Nothobranchius furzeri: one gene and its partner. The protein of the gene in region 1 interacts with the protein of each later gene in a pairwise test. Links are inferred from orthologs where the notes say so. Each region holds a gene or a part of one and is shown on either strand. Other genes may lie near its edges.

What was found.
Region 2: the proteins of ppih (region 1) and n4bp2l2 interact in binary tests that used the Homo sapiens proteins (3 or more experiments, as listed by UniProt). The two-hybrid records come from large-scale screens. The link is inferred for Nothobranchius furzeri from reciprocal best matches to the Homo sapiens genes PPIH and N4BP2L2.

The regions. Positions count from the first base shown.
Region 1 is NC_091755.1:32,524,327-32,532,730, forward strand, and holds part of ppih (peptidyl-prolyl cis-trans isomerase H), read right to left. Parts: exon of another isoform or gene 8,245-8,404; intron 5,473-8,244; coding exon 5,408-5,472; intron 5,317-5,407; coding exon 5,293-5,316; intron 4,823-5,292; coding exon 4,778-4,822; intron 1-4,777. UniProt on the Homo sapiens protein: PPIase that catalyzes the cis-trans isomerization of proline imidic peptide bonds in oligopeptides and may therefore assist protein folding. Participates in pre-mRNA splicing.
Region 2 is NC_091753.1:42,458,556-42,465,788, forward strand, and holds the end of n4bp2l2 (NEDD4-binding protein 2-like 2), read left to right. Parts: intron 1-3,455; coding exon 3,456-3,532; intron 3,533-3,624; coding exon 3,625-3,790; 3' UTR 3,791-3,998; downstream 3,999-7,233.

The DNA of each region.
Region 1 (8,404 bases):
AGGAAAGGGTCGTGGGAGGACACTTGACAAAATTTATCTCAGACCAGCTGGATCCCCTACAATTTGCTTACAAGGCAAAACGTGGTGTAGAGGACGCAAGTCTCACACTTCTAAATGCTGTCATTAAACACATGGACTCTACACAACCATACACAAGAATCTTATTCAGGGATTTGTCTTCTGCATTTAATACACTAGACACCAGCATTTTGCTGGAACAGCTTTCAGATCTCCATCTCCACACAACGCTGCTTTTATGGATCCACAACTTTTTGAAAGACAGGCCACAACAAGTGTTCTTAAGAGGATTTAAATCCACGAAAAGTCTCATTAGCATTGGACTGCCACAAGGATGTGTTTTGTCTCCAGTGCTTTTCTCAGTCAACACAAACAACATCCGGTGCCATAGTGAGAGAATGGCCCTGTAGAAGTATGCAGACGACATGGCATTGGTGGCATCAGTGAAGACATCGGAGGACCTGTCTAAATATCAGCAGCGGTCAGCAATCTGGTCCAGACATTTGGAGACTTTCACCTGGGGCTGAATATCTCAAAAACTAAAGACATGTGCTGTGGGGCAGCCGGTGAGGCAGACACATCCCTGTTCGAACCCCTCAGCATACAGGGTCAGCCTGTGGGGCAGGTTCAGTCATTCAGGTACCTGGGAGCAGAAACTGATGACCACCTGTCCTTTGCAAATCACAGCAACGGGGTCTACAAGAAAGCGCTGCAAAGACTCCACCTGCTAAGGAAGCTTAGAGCACTCAATGTGAACAAGGACATCCTAACAATTGTATAATATAAACCACTGATTGAATCCATTCCAACTTTCAATATTACAGCTTGGTATACCTTTCTTACAGTTAAAAACAAAACACAACTCTCTCGCATTGTTAAATTAGGCAGCAAAATTACAGGTTCACCTCAGATCCCACTTTCTGTTCTTCACGAGCGAGCAGTGCACAGGAAGGCTACCCTGATCAGTGCAGACTCAACCCGTCCACTGAACCCACTTTTTCAGTTACTTCCGTCAGGAAGGAGGTTCAGGGTTCCATTGGCCAAGAAAGGTGTCTATAAGAAATTATTTGTTCCCAGCGCAATTACAATTTTGAATTCTTACAGTTTTATTTTTTTACGATGATAACATTCTAATACCTTTTAATTGTCTTTTTATGTATTTGTGTGAATGCGATATGGATTGTATTGTAAGGTGAGCCATGTCAAAGGTGAATTTCTGCCTTTGAGTTGGACAATAAAGTTGATCTATCTATCATCTATCTATCTATCTATTATCTATCTATCTATCTATCTATCTATCTATCTATCTATCTATCTATCTATCTATCTATCTATCTATCTATCTATCTATCTATCTATCTATCTATCCATCCATCCATCCATCCATCCATCCATCCATCCATCCATCCATCCATCCATCCATCCATCCATCCATCCATCTATCCATCTATCCATCTATCCATCCATCCATCCATCCATCCATCCATCCATCCATCCATCCATCCATCCATCCATCCATCCATCCATCCATCCATCCATCCATCCATCCATCTATCTATCTATCTATCTATCTATCTATCTATCTATCTAGTTGTGTTTCATATGGAGGGAAAATGCAGAAAGGGTTGAAAACTTCTAACTTCCAAAATGGCCCTTTTGTCTTTTAGGGACCCTTCCTGTAAACAGGGTTAAATATAAACTAAAATAAATATTCTGGCACTCCGACCCGAGGCAATGCAAAATGGATCGGGTGACAGTTCCTCATCAGTAACAGCCCTGGCTCTCGGGCATTCCACTCAGCACCTTTTTCAACTACATCCATCCTGTTTTTCAGGTTTCAACAAACTGGTTTGAATCATTCCTCGAGTGCATCGCTTTTTCTTTCTTAGAAATCCACATTTCTTTTAAGAGAAACAAGCAGAGAAGAAAAGCCAGGCCTAAAAATATCCTTATCTTCAAAAGACGACTGGGGTCAGAAAGACAAGTGTGTAAGAAACGGGAGCTGCTTAATTCTTCAGTTGGTCATTTTCTAAATGTCAAGTTTTCAGCAAATAGATATTTGAGAATCGCCCTGCTCACGCTACAGTACTGATCATGTGCCAGACGGGGTTTTCTTAGCCAAGATGTTTCTTGTGTGTCGACACAACACGGTTCATCTCTTGGGATTAGGGATTTTTACAACTCCTGGATGATTCATAACTCAGCTTTAACTGGCTTTACTTAAGTGGTCCGATATTGGACTAAAGACCAGCTTAAAAAGCACATTACGTCCAACAGAAACTTATGAAAGACTTTTACGAAAAAAGCAAACAATGACAAGGAAGTCTGTCCTCAAAGTAGCTAAATGTTAAGAAATGATGGTTGGCTCATCTTTTGTATGAACAAGTACCTCCTCTGGCATTTCTTTAACTCAGCAAATCAGAACAAATAAAAAAAGTTCCATAATACTCAGTGAACAAGACCCCAAGATAATTGTGAGGGATAGATACAGTGATCCCTCGTTTATCGCGGTAGATGCGTTCCAGACCTGGCCGCGATAGGTGAAAATCCGCGAAGTAGGGACACCATATTTACAGTACAGCACATTCTCTTTTTGTGGGTAAAACTCAAGAAAAATTTTTTTTACTTGGTTTTTTAATAGTTTTATTACAAAAAGTGCATCTTATGATGAAATTGATGAAAAAAAAAACAGGAATTTCTTGATATTTCGCATAGAAAAATACCGCGAATTGGTGAAAAATACCGCAAATCTGCGAATTTCCCTTGAATAAGGCTCCAAAGAAAAAATCCGCAAAGTGGTGAATCCGCGATAAACGAACCGCGAAGTAGCGAGGGATCACTGTAGAGGGAAAGATGAAGCATGACATCGATAGGCAGATTGGTGCTGAGTCTGCAGTGATGTGGGCATTGTTCCAGTCGGTCGTGGTGAAGAGAGAGGAGAGCCGGAAGATGAAGCTCTCGACTCATCGGTCGATCTACGTTCCTACCCTCACCTATGGTTACACGTTTTGGGTGGTCACCAAAAGAATGGGATTACCGATACAAGCAGCTGAAATGAGTTTTCTCTGAAGGGTGGCTGGGCTTTCCCTTAGAGATAGCGTGAAAAGCTCGGTCATACGGGAGGGGCTAGGAGTAGATTTGCTGCTCCTCCACACTGAGAGGAGCCAGTTGGTGGCTCGGGCATCTGATTAGGATGCTTTCTGGACGCCTCCTTCAAGAGGTTTTACTGGGCACGTAAAACCGGAAGGAGACCTAAAGGTAGACCCAGGACATGCTGGAGGGACTATGTCTCTCACCTGGCCAGGGGAACACCTTGGGATTCACCTGGAGGAGCTGGCCCAAGTGGCTGGGGAGAGGGAAGTCTGGGCCTCTCTGCTTAGGCCAGTGCACCTGTGACCCCACCCCAGACAAGTAGAGGAAAATGGACGCTCAATCTTTCTGTATCTGATGTGCTTCAATTCACTTTCTTGCTGCATTACTTATCAGGCAGATTTCAGTTCCCAAACGAAAGGATCCCATTTGACTATAGATCAAACTATGATAGACTTCCAGGGTTGTGAAACGAGCACATAACATCACCCCTCCACCACCGTGCTGACAGCTGGTAGGTGTTAGTTTTGATAGGGAAAAAAAACCAAGTCAGCTTGGCATGGTGCTGACTGTCAAAAAATCTTCTATTTTTATGATTAAAGACTTTTGTATCACAAGTCTTGATTTGTGTTCTGACGCATCAATCCAAACCCACCAAACAAGCTTCTTCACTATTTTAGACAAAGATTAGTAAAAGAAAACGTCCAAACCAGCTGAACCAGTTTGTAAACTTCAACAATGGGATCTTCTAATTGAAACCCATAGAACTAACGTTTTCATCCATTTCCTTGCACAACAGCCTGCTGAATTCTGAGTTGCATCAGTTTTGAACATTTTGCACTGATCTGTTACAGGTGGAGTGGATGATGTTTGTCCAGAGGAATTTTTCCATATTGCCATCAGGATCATAACCCACTCAAACTGCCCTCTGACCGTCTCTCTCCCCTCTGCACGAATGACGTGTTCTTCAACTCAACTCACTTTATTTGTACAGCACTTTACTGTACAAACAATGCAGGCCACCAAGGCATTCTTCTTGGCTTGTAGCATTCAAATAAGAAACTAAGCCAGAGCCAGGCTAGCTAGTGTCACAGGCGAAATGTTCCATTTTCTTTCCAATTTCATTTAAGGAATTGTACATGTTCTGCTGTGGTTGGGTAGCGTTTGTGTGATGGACCTGTTTTCTGGGAACGCAGCTGGCAGAGCTGTGTGTATGTGTAACGCGTTAGTGTGTGTCTCCCTCTACCAGAGATGAGAGAGTATTCAGAAAGACGTAGAAGAAATGTTTACTGATGTATTTTCTCTTTACAAATGTGCAAGAATACAACTAAATGGTCCAGATTGGCTACATTTCTGCATTCATATGTGCTGATAATCAGTTAATTCAATGCATTACAGGATGCTACAAAATAAAAACATGTATTCTTATATCATTTGGGTGATATTAAAAACAGGTTTGTATCGATAGTTTTTATTCGAGTGAAGCGTGAAGGGGAAGCCAAAGCTCCACCCATCAGCCCACACTTCAATTTTATGAGACTTCCTTCTTTAAACGAGCCGATTCAACCCTCTTCACAAGGTTTTAATTACAAAACAGTCGGGTTAAACAGGAAAATAAATGAGAGTTGTAACTTTTTTGAAATGTCACAGGTAATTTTACTCCGTTTACCTGTGGAAGGTGCAGCCTTTGAACCCAATTGGAACACCATCCTTCCTGCAGAGCAAAGGTTAGAGATTAGAACAAATGTTAGCTGCAAAGGATCCATTACTTGTCTTGCAGACTATTAAACACACCTGCAACCTGTTAAACAAACTCCCATTCCTTCCGTGTTTGACCATACTTACATCAGCCTCTGTCACTTTAAATAGCTGCCTTTAACAAAGCAGAGCCACTGTCGGGTGTGAGTAATAAAAGCCTCTAAAATTAAACCAATAACATTTTCAAATATGACAGCAAATTTACATTATTTGGTTTGTGCACGATTTGGTCTTTGTGCTTTCTGAGTTGAGCGCTATCGACCAAGTTGTGTACAATATTGCTTTTATTAGTTTTTTGCATTACTTAAAACATTGCATGAAATCATCCTGCAAAGAGAATGAATAATGCACCTGTGATGATTTGTTCACTAACCAGTTATCTGTGTTTATTTACCAAGAGAAGCCAATGCCCATTTAGTGCCGTACCTGAACTCTCCTGTGCAGAACTGCCTGTAAGAGATCATAAAAACATTAGTAAAATCTTTTTAAACTGCGTCGTTTTTCTGTTTGGGAAATTTTGTGATGCAGACAGAGGTCTTACCTGAAGTTCTCAGCCGTCTTTGGAACCACGTCTGCAAAAAGCTCTATCTTCATCCGTCCGACATCCTGACAGAAAGAGGAAATTCTGGTAATTAATCATAACCAAAAAGGGAAAACATTTTCTAAATCATTCAGGAGATTAAATCAGAGAAGTTAAGAATATATTAATAAAAGTAAGGGATAACTAGATCTGATGTGCAATTGGCACCGGGCTTCAGTCGCTGCAGTGTGAGGCTGTGCTTTCACCTGTGGAGCTCTCGGAGGGAGACCACAGAAACTCTGCAGCTCGATGCGTTGATGCGCGCTTCAACCTCAACCTAGAGTCCCTCATCCGAGTTTTTCTGGCTAAAAGCACCAGCAAACCTCAGTTAGCTTGTAGCTGAGAACTATGGTGGAATGACATAATCAAAATTCTATCCTTAGCTTCACTGATCGAGACCTTTTTTCACTCCCACCCCCAACAGAACACCACGGCGGGTGTGACAGGTTCTCCGCTCAGTAAAGTCAGAGAAGCAGAAACAGCCGGCTGCTACCACTTCTACTTAAGGACAAACTAGCAGTCCCAAAAAGAAAAACACCATTTGAAGTTGTGGACAACAAAAGACGTTTGGACATAGAAAATGGAGACGGATGTTTAGAGCCCTCTTGTTTCCTCTGGCATTGCAGGTTCTGGTATCTGGCAGACTTGGCCTGGGGAAGATACCCGTCAGGAGGGATGAGAGTTCCAGGACTGTGTTTTTGTTTTAAGCTAGCTTGTTTTGCAGATTTGCTGTTGCAGCTTTAAGTCACGTGAACAGGCTAAAGCTGAAAACCATCCAAAAGTAAACGCATCTTTAATATGACTTGCTTTATTTTTCTAAATACACACTAAAGCAACCAGGCTGAGTAAAGATGAAGGCTAGACTGTCCAAATTTATAGCCGATCCTCACAAGAATGCCAGGTATTGCTGACAGGCATTGCTGTAGTATGATGACGTCAGCATCGTGCTGCATGTGGAGGTTTTATACACTTTACATGGAGGGATTATAAAGAAATTTGCAGACATTTGCAAAATATATCTGCTTTATGAGTGTAGCGTAGTTAATCTACATAACTAGAACTTATTAGCGCTGTTGCTATCCAGCTTTGCTAAATTCTGAGAAAAATCAAACTAATTGGCAAATGAACTTATATTATATATATATATATATATATCCACGGATATTTATATAATCGATAGAAGTTCATACACCAACTGGCTTGGTCTATATTTAATCAAAAGATTAATATTTAATTTAAGAGATTTAAATTAATAGCAAATGTTTATTTATTAATTCAGAAGATTTAAAGAGATTTTTGCTCGTTCAGTGACCAAATATACACCACTTTGTGTTTTATTTCAAAGAAGAGTCAGGTTTAAAAAGTTAAGAATTTATTACTAACAATTTAAAGATGACAATTTAAAAGACAATTCATAAATGACAATTTATAAAAGCTTTGATATTAAAACTTGGTATTAAAGCAGCCTGTGTCTGGATGGAACTAAAATGAGATGTGTGTGTGTTTGGATGTGTGAATGGAAGGTCTCAGACGGTTTCTATCTTAGAGAGAGAAAAACGCATTCTGGGTGAAAGAGTTTGTTTTGCAGCTAAGCTAAATTATTTCTTAATAAGGAACGGGCATACAGATGTGTTCTACCTCACCGTTCAGACAACCCTCTGTTTGGATCCAGAGGTCAAGGGAGGATGTTGTCAGCCTCTGGTTACTCGGTCCGGTAGGGGAGATCCGAGTGGTACAGACTCTCTGGTCCTAGAGTTGCCGCAGGCACACAGGTGTTGAGTTTGCATCTTAAATTAAGTCTGAAGGAGTTTTGCGTCAGCTTGTTGCAGATGGCGTTTCTTGTTGAAGCAATTCTGCATGACAGAAAAGCTTTGGTGGAGGTTTCGAGCGGCTGACCCGATACTCTGGAACTCTCGTCGCCACGGAGAGATTTTGGTGAGCTCAAGAACTGAACTTGAACCGAGGAGTTTAGGTTTTAACATAATTCAGAACACGCCCTCTCAGAGATAGAAAGCTTTGTTGTTATGGAACAAAGACATGTGAATGCAGTTACCTTTAACATGATTTCAGTGCCCTGCATGGTGTGTATAAGTGCACATAACCCTCTGTCACTGATCAAACATTACTGATTAATTATTAACCAAAGAATAATAATTCATTTCCGTAATTAGGCTAACCCTAACCCTAAAGAATATATCACTGTAATGAACAGTTTGACCTGGGATCAGAATACAGTCAGAAACATATCCTATGGTCTTGTTTTTCCACATCTAACATACATCATAATCATCCTTGTCCACTTTTGCAAAAACCAAACAAACCAGTAAGAGATACCAGCTGGCATCCAGTGACACATTTTGTTTACTCGCTTCAATTCCTGCAAAGCAAATTCTCTATATTTTAAACAACAAACGCCTTTTCATTTTAGTCTTCGTATCATTTTCTGGCAATGGAAATGTGGACAAAGAAACTGTGCCACAGTCGTTGAGGGCAACACAATATGTGTGAGAACCACGCATTTATGATCTCCAGGTTAAGATAAAAACTACAGAAAAATCCTTAACTACGACAAAAAACAGTTTGACCAAGTCGGACCTCTTCAGATCATGAAATTGATACTTCAGGATTCTGTAAAACAAACTACTTTGGTGGTATAATGGCAGGTGTTTTGTCTTTAAAAAGGATAATCCAGGTTTTTGTCTATTCCTGGAAGAGCAATAGCATCAAGCAGAAGAATCATTTGAGATTATCTGACACGAGAACAAAAGGTCATCTAACTATCAAGCCTCGTTCAAACTCTGAGACTTCAGCAGCGAACACTTCCAGCACATGTCTCCTGTTGATTCACAAAACCCCCAAAGCACTGGTAACATCCCAGGTGGCAGCAGACAGCAAACAAAGCCAGACCTGTCAGCCAAAGCGGTACTTCTAAGAAGTAATTTTCATCGTCTAGCATTT
Region 2 (7,233 bases), on another chromosome or scaffold:
ATAATTAGAAAATGAATTTTCAGTGAACTATAACTTTGAAGACACATTTAGTTTTAGCTTGCTTTTAGCAATCCCTAGATTCTGTTGTTAATTCACTGTCGTAAAACCGAAAGTGAAACTCTCTCCTCTCTTTGCGTTTGTCTTTTTAACACCTTAACCTAACTGCTGAAATGTCTCGTCGGCTTTTGTAGTTTCTACAGGAGCTGTTCATTACTAAATGAAACAAATCAGCTGTGTTCTTCATCTAAAAGATGCAGGAATCATGTACCGGAAGAACACTCTAGCTATAGCATGTCAGATCCATTTTACTATTGAGTAACAGGGATTGGTCAAGGGTACTCTGAAGTTGCAAGCATGGTATTCTGGGCACAGGGGGTGGTGAGATCTGAGTGACTTTTCATGAAGCCCTGGCGTTGGCACATATTGGCTCAAGGAAATTATTTAAAGATAAAAAAAGTTGCACAGTATACCTTTTAAAGAAAATCACACTTATAAATTAATTTTCTGATAAACACTTTTTTACGACCCAGATTTTATTCTTGCATTGCCTAGACAGTCCTAAGATTTATTTTTCACCTTTTTGCAACAGACACTCTTGTACTCCTTTAGATTAGCTCCTGACTGAAACTGTTCAGTGTCAACCAAAATGGTTTTATTCAGTTTATTTCCATTGCTTATTCTTTTTTTTCATTCTGTATTTGTTGTTGTTGTTGTTGTTGTAATGTTCTACATTGCAGAGAGATGCACAGAAAAACACATTGTGTCTGATACAGTGGGTGCGGAAAGTATTCAGACCCCAGTCCAATTTTCACTCTTCGTTTAAATTGCAGCCATTTTCTAAAATCAATGAAATTCATTATTTTCCTCATTAATGTACACACAGCATCCTATATTGACAGAAAAACATAGAATTTTAGAAATTTCTGCAGATTTATTAGAAAAGAAAAATCACATGGTCTTTGCTCAGTATTTAGTAGAAGCATCCTTTTGAGCTAATACAGCCATGAGTCTTCTTGATAAAGATGCGACAAGTTTCTTACACCTGGATTTGGTGATCTTCTGCCATTCCTCCTTGCAGATCCTCTCCAGTTCTGTCAGGTTGGATGGTGAATGTTGGTGGACAGCCATTTTTAGGTCTCTTCAGATATGCTCAATTGGGTTTAAGTCAGGACTCTGGCTGGGCCATTCAACAACAGTCACAGGGTTGCCATGAAACCACTTCTTTGTTATTTTAACTGTGTGCTTAGGGTCATCGTCATGTTGGAAGGTAAACTTTTGGCCCAGTCTGAGGTCTTGAGCACTCAGGAGATGGTTCTTGTCAAGGATATCCCTGTTCTTGCCTGCATTCATTCCCTCAATTGCAACCAGTCATCCTGTCCCCCTGCAGCTGAAAAACACCCCCACAGCATGATGCTGCCTCCACCATGCATAACAGTGGGGACTGTATTGGACAAGTGATGAGCAGTGCTTGGTTTTCTCCACACATACCACTTAGAATTAAGACCAAAAAGTTCTCTCTTGGTCTCACCAGAGATGGGAATCTTATTTTTTACCATCTCAAGTCCTTCAGGTGTCTTTTATCAAACTCCATGCAGGCTTTCGTGTTTCTTGCAGAGGCTTCCAATGAGCCACTCTGCCATAAAGCCCTGACTGGTGGAGGGCTGCAGTGATGGTTGACTTTCTACAGCTTTCTCCCATCTCCTGACTGCATCTCTGGAGCTCGGCCACAGAAATCTTTGGGTTCTTGTTTACCTCTCTCACCAAAGCTCTTCTCCCCCGGTAGCTCAGTTTGGCTGGATGGCCTGCTGCAAGGAGGGTTCTGGTCGCCCCTGTCTTCCATTTAAGGGTTATGGAGGCCACTGTATCTCGGGGTCTTGTTCACGAGTGAGGGAAATCTGGAGCACGAGATCGATAGGTGGATTAGTGCTGCGTCTGCAGTGATGCGGGCGTTGTACCAGTCTGTCGTGGTGAAGAGAGAACTGAACCAGAAGGCGAAGCTCTCGATTTATCAGTCGATCTACATTTCTACCCTCACCTATGGTCACGAGCTTTGGGTAGTGACCGAAAGAACGAGATCGCAGATACAAGCGGCTGAAATGAGTTTTCTCCACAGAGTGGCTGGGCTCTCCCTTAGAGATAGGGTGATAAGCTCAGTCATTCGGGAGGGGCTCGGAGTAGATTCGCTGCTCCTCCACATGGAGAGTTGAGATGGCTCAATCATCTGGTCAGGATGCCTTCTGGACGCCTGGTGAGGTTTTCCGGGCACGTCCAACCGGGAGGAGGCCTAAAGGGAGACCCAGGACACGTTGGAGGGACTATGTCTCTCAACTACGTCTGTCACCTTGCCAGGGAATGCCTTGGGATTCCCCTGGAAGAGCTGGCCCAAGTGGCTGGGGAGAGGGAAGTCTGGGCCTCTCGACTCAGGCTACTGCCTCAAGGGCCGGTATTCAACACATTTTAGTTTTAACCCTGTTTCAACACACCTGATTTCAAGCAGCAGGGGATTAACAGGCTTTTGCAGAGCCTGATGAGCTGCTGCACATGTGATTCAACCACTGAATCAAGTGTGTTGGAGGAGAGAAACCACTAAAACGTGCTGGATACTGACCCTCCAGGCTCGGGATTGAGTAAAGCCTGGGGCACACCGGAGGCAGACCGAGATTTTGAGAAGTCAAGTGGTCACACGGGCCGCGCCGCTGAGCGCTTCTTGGAAAGTCACGCAATAGTCACAACATTACGCAGGATTTGAGAACAGAAAGCGGGAAGTGACTCTATTGTTTATACGTGATCAGACTTACCGCCATGATTTGTGAGACTGAAATTCATAAAAAATGGGTACAGTAAGTACGCTGTTTATGTGAATATTTTAAGATCAACAGTACTTTAAAATTATCTAAAATGCGGCTGGGTTTGTGCCGGCGGTTGAGTTTGTGCTGTAAAGCCGTTCCGCGCCGTAATGTCTGTTAAGTACTCCACAATGACATAAACAGCCGCAGCACTTGAGATAGAACTGGCTCCTATCTTCAGCGCTTAGCCGCGCCGCGGCGCTCCCCGTTTATCCACTCTCGTTAACTATAGTGGCTTCTATTTAAAATGATGGTGCAGTGTGGGTGCGACAGCGCGTCCGCCTCCGGTGTGCCCCAGGCTAAAGCCTGGTCTAAATACTTAGGACCATGTGATATTTCAGCTTGTATTTCTTTAATAAATATTTAATTACATTTTTTAAATTCTGTGTTTTTCTGTCAAAATGTGGTGCTGTGTATACATTGAGGAAAACATATTTTTTAATTGATTTTAGCAAATGGCTTCAACATAATGAAGATTGAAAAGTTGACCAGTGTCTGAATACTTTTTGTACCCACTGTACACATGACATAAACCTAAAGCTGCACTAGTCATAATCTTATGGCTGATATTATGCTTCTATTATATAATTTTTCTGATATATTCACCAGGCCTTGGAGAGAGGATACAAAGTGGACTTTTGTGAACCAGAAACCAGCTGGAAGTTTGATCCTCTTGAGTTGGAAAAGTACTTTTGTCTAATCAGGCACAAATTTTCACAATTTTAATAAACCTCACACGCATGAACAGCATGAGCATGATTTGATATTTCTCCTCCAGGCGGAACAAACATGGTGTTCCTCAGGAAAAGATCAAACAGATGATGGATCGTTTTTCCTCGCCCGTATCCATTGACATCATCATGAGTTCAGAGGAGCCAGCTCACGTCAACCAGAGACGTTGGTCAGAGCAGCAGCAGAACAGGAAAAAGCCACGTTTTTATTAGTTTAATGCAGGACCACCAGCACTGGTGTACACACACCACTCTTGTGTTCTGTAAATGTATTTTTTTGAAGAAGTCTCTTTTTTTATGCTTTCTAAAGATCCAAACATTGTTTACATTTAATATGAGAAGACTGATGTTCAAATCTTTTGACTTGTAAAATATGAAACTAAAGGTAAAATAAAGAGGCTGTGTGTTAATTACCAACCTATTTGATCTCCCAAAGTGTGTTTGACATCTTCAGATTCCTGTAAATGATCAGGTGTGCCTCAGCTTCAGTTCTTAGTCTGTCTTTCCTTAAGCTGTTTTTTTTCTTTAAAGGTGCAATAAGTAACACATTTACAGTGAAATAATCACAAAATAGTCTACTTAGCCAGCTGTGGTGGTTGTCAGTTTTTTTTCCCTTAAAAAGGTGGAAGAGGGATATAGTTTTTAATTACAATCCAGATTGCCTCCATACGTCAACGTTTCAGAGGCAATGACATGAGAGCCCACAACGTTGCCAAGTCTGCGCTGACAAATTCTTCTGCTCCAGCATTTGTAACTTGACACTGTGGGGCAAAAAGCAGCAGCATAGGGAGCCTAAGTCATGCCCATCTTCTTCTTGACCATGGGCCCCCAGAAGAACGAAAAAATAAATGCAAGTCAATGGGGCTAAAATGCTATTATCTAATTCCTCTCGTTTTGTGCCATGGATTTCACATATGATGTCTGTAAATTTTAAAGACGAATGTTGAAACCAAGAATGCAATTATTTTCGAACGGAGGGAAACATTATTTTAGGTTTGGTGTGAAAATAAGTCCAGGACTACAAATGTGCATCATAAAAGTGACGTCATCAATCCAGACACCGAGAAAAACTGAGGGAAAATGGCTGTAAGTTTGGCGAACTTAAAATCCTTCCTTCAGGAGGACAAAAACACCATAAATCTGGCCATTTGGTAAGTAGCAGCTATGCTAGAGGAGAAGAGATTCTGTGGTGACATCATATATGCAACGTGCCAATATCTAATTTGTAGTCATGCTAACTACGAACTTTTACAAGCTGATAAATCTCAAAGTACGTGACAGGGATGGCTGAAACACCCATAGTTAGTTTTCATTTAAATTTCAGTACAACATATGTGCAATCCAGGGCCTAAGGCAGGATTAGAAAATAACTTTTAGCCCCGTTGACTTGCACTCATTTTTTTTGTTATTCCGGGGACCCATGAGCCGACCGGAAAGGGAGGAGAGTTAGGCTCCCTATTGCTGAAAGAACTAAAGCCAGTAACAGGATCAACCCAGAAGTTATTTCTAGTACTCCCAAGGCCATGTACACATATAGCTGGGTTTTTGTAAAATCAAACATTCTCCTCTGCCCATTTAAGAAAAAAACTTTGGTCCACATCGCCTCATTTCCAGCAAGAATATCCGGTGCACTGTGATTAGCAATGCCAAGCCTGTCGATGGCAGGAGCTCCCCAAATCTTGAGCATCTTTGCCAGAGAAAAATTCCCTACTTACTTATTTTGTGTGACTTGTATTCATTCGTCATCTAAAATCTTGCTGAGATCTGACTTGATTGCTTTGAAACATGGACTGCAGTTCCCAAATTTGGCCACAGAATGTCCTTCTTACTTCATGTTCTGAAGAGCTTATGACAGACTTGGGTCAGCTTTCTTCGTTTCAGCCTCACAGTTTGCAGACTTCATTACAGGTTGTAGCACTTGTAATAAATATTTTTTCCCATTAAGATTATATCAATAAAATGTTATTGCTAAAACGATTGAGCATCCTATTAGTAGAACGTGACTCCCCGTGAAACAGACAGTGAGATAAATTAAGGTAATTTCGATCCGTAATAGTGTTTTATTGATTTGTCTCTGAATTCCTTTGTGTTTCTGAAGCCTCTCTTCCTCCCTTGCCTCATAAACCACTAACAATATTTTGTTTGACTTTTATATTCCATCCATCAAGTTTCCTCTGCTCATCCGTGGCCTAGTCACAGTGGCAACAGCGGAAGCAGAGAGGCCCAGAAATCCCTCCCCCCAGCCACTTGGTCCAGCTCCTCCGGAGAATCCTAAGGCATTCTTGGGTCTGACGAGAAATGCCAGTCCCTCCATCGTGTCCTGTGTCTTCCTTTAGGTCTCCTCCCAGTTGGATGTGCCTGGGAAACCTCCACAGAAAGGTGTCCAGGAGGCATCCTAATCGGATGCCTGAGCCGCCTAAACTGGCACTTTAATTACTTTGTCCAATTCCAGAAGTTATTTGTCCAGCAGTGTGTTTATTTTCACTGCTGCACATTATTTAGTCAGACTTATTGGTCCATTTGTTTTAGAAATAACTGATTGACTTTCTAGGAAATATAGTGTATTTTTTTCTGTTTTGTTTCTTATCATGACAAAAAAATCTGTTAACTGCATTTGGTAATAATTCATGAGGTGAGCCGTGTGACCTTTTATATGCTCTGGAATGATCTACTTATTAGACAGGACAAGATGCACAATCGCATCTCCAATAAGCTGCAAATTCCTGACAAAAGGTTAATGTTTGCATCTTCATTAAAACTGTTATCAATATTGGAACTTTTAATTAATTTTTTTTGTTGCAGTTTTATGTCAGCTCTCTCACAGATCACCTTTGACCAATGCAGAAAACTACCAGTAAGACTCATTTGAGCAACACTTACACAAAAGGCAGCTTAACAACAGGATATCAGGAACAGGGAAATGCATGATGTGCATCAGTGCAAAATGAGGCCAGCTTCTCTTAGGCACATTAAAGAAACCACGAGAGCACACAAATAGGCAGGTTTAGAAAGGAGAAACTCACTCAAAAATTCAAAATTTTATTTATTTTTTGACTAAAGCTTTCTATAAATTGAACTGAGGTGTACAAATAAAAGCAAGTGGTTGATTTTAAGCATAATCCTGTATTGTATATGATCTGCTACATTCGAAAGCTTCGTTTATTCAGATATTATTCTACCTGGGTGATTGCCTGTACCACAGAACGAAACACAAACATACTGACGAATGTTGGTTATTCAATAATTTTGATTGCACAGATCAAACAGGCCTCCACCAGGAAAACACCTGTGCTTTTCTGCGTATGTGTCATAACTTTTTTATGATGTTGTACGAGCCAGCAGCACCATATGTGTTGCATTTGGCAGGTTGTGTCTGGCTTTACAAGCGAGCGAGTCTGCAGCAGCAAACAGCAGGCGTGCTCAGAATGGTGATTATACAAGACAGCTGATTAGTGATTTGTGTTCACTGAATGGAGGTGATGAATCACTTACTGCTGGTAATCATCATAAAGACAAAAAAAAAATCTAATCAGAGTAGGTGCACACCAGAGAATAATAAAGCTGAGGTGGTAGATGAATGTACTCTTCACATTTAAAGCAGAATGGGGTAAAGAGGCAGTTTAATTTCACTTTATTTAAATTTTCTGCTGTTGCAC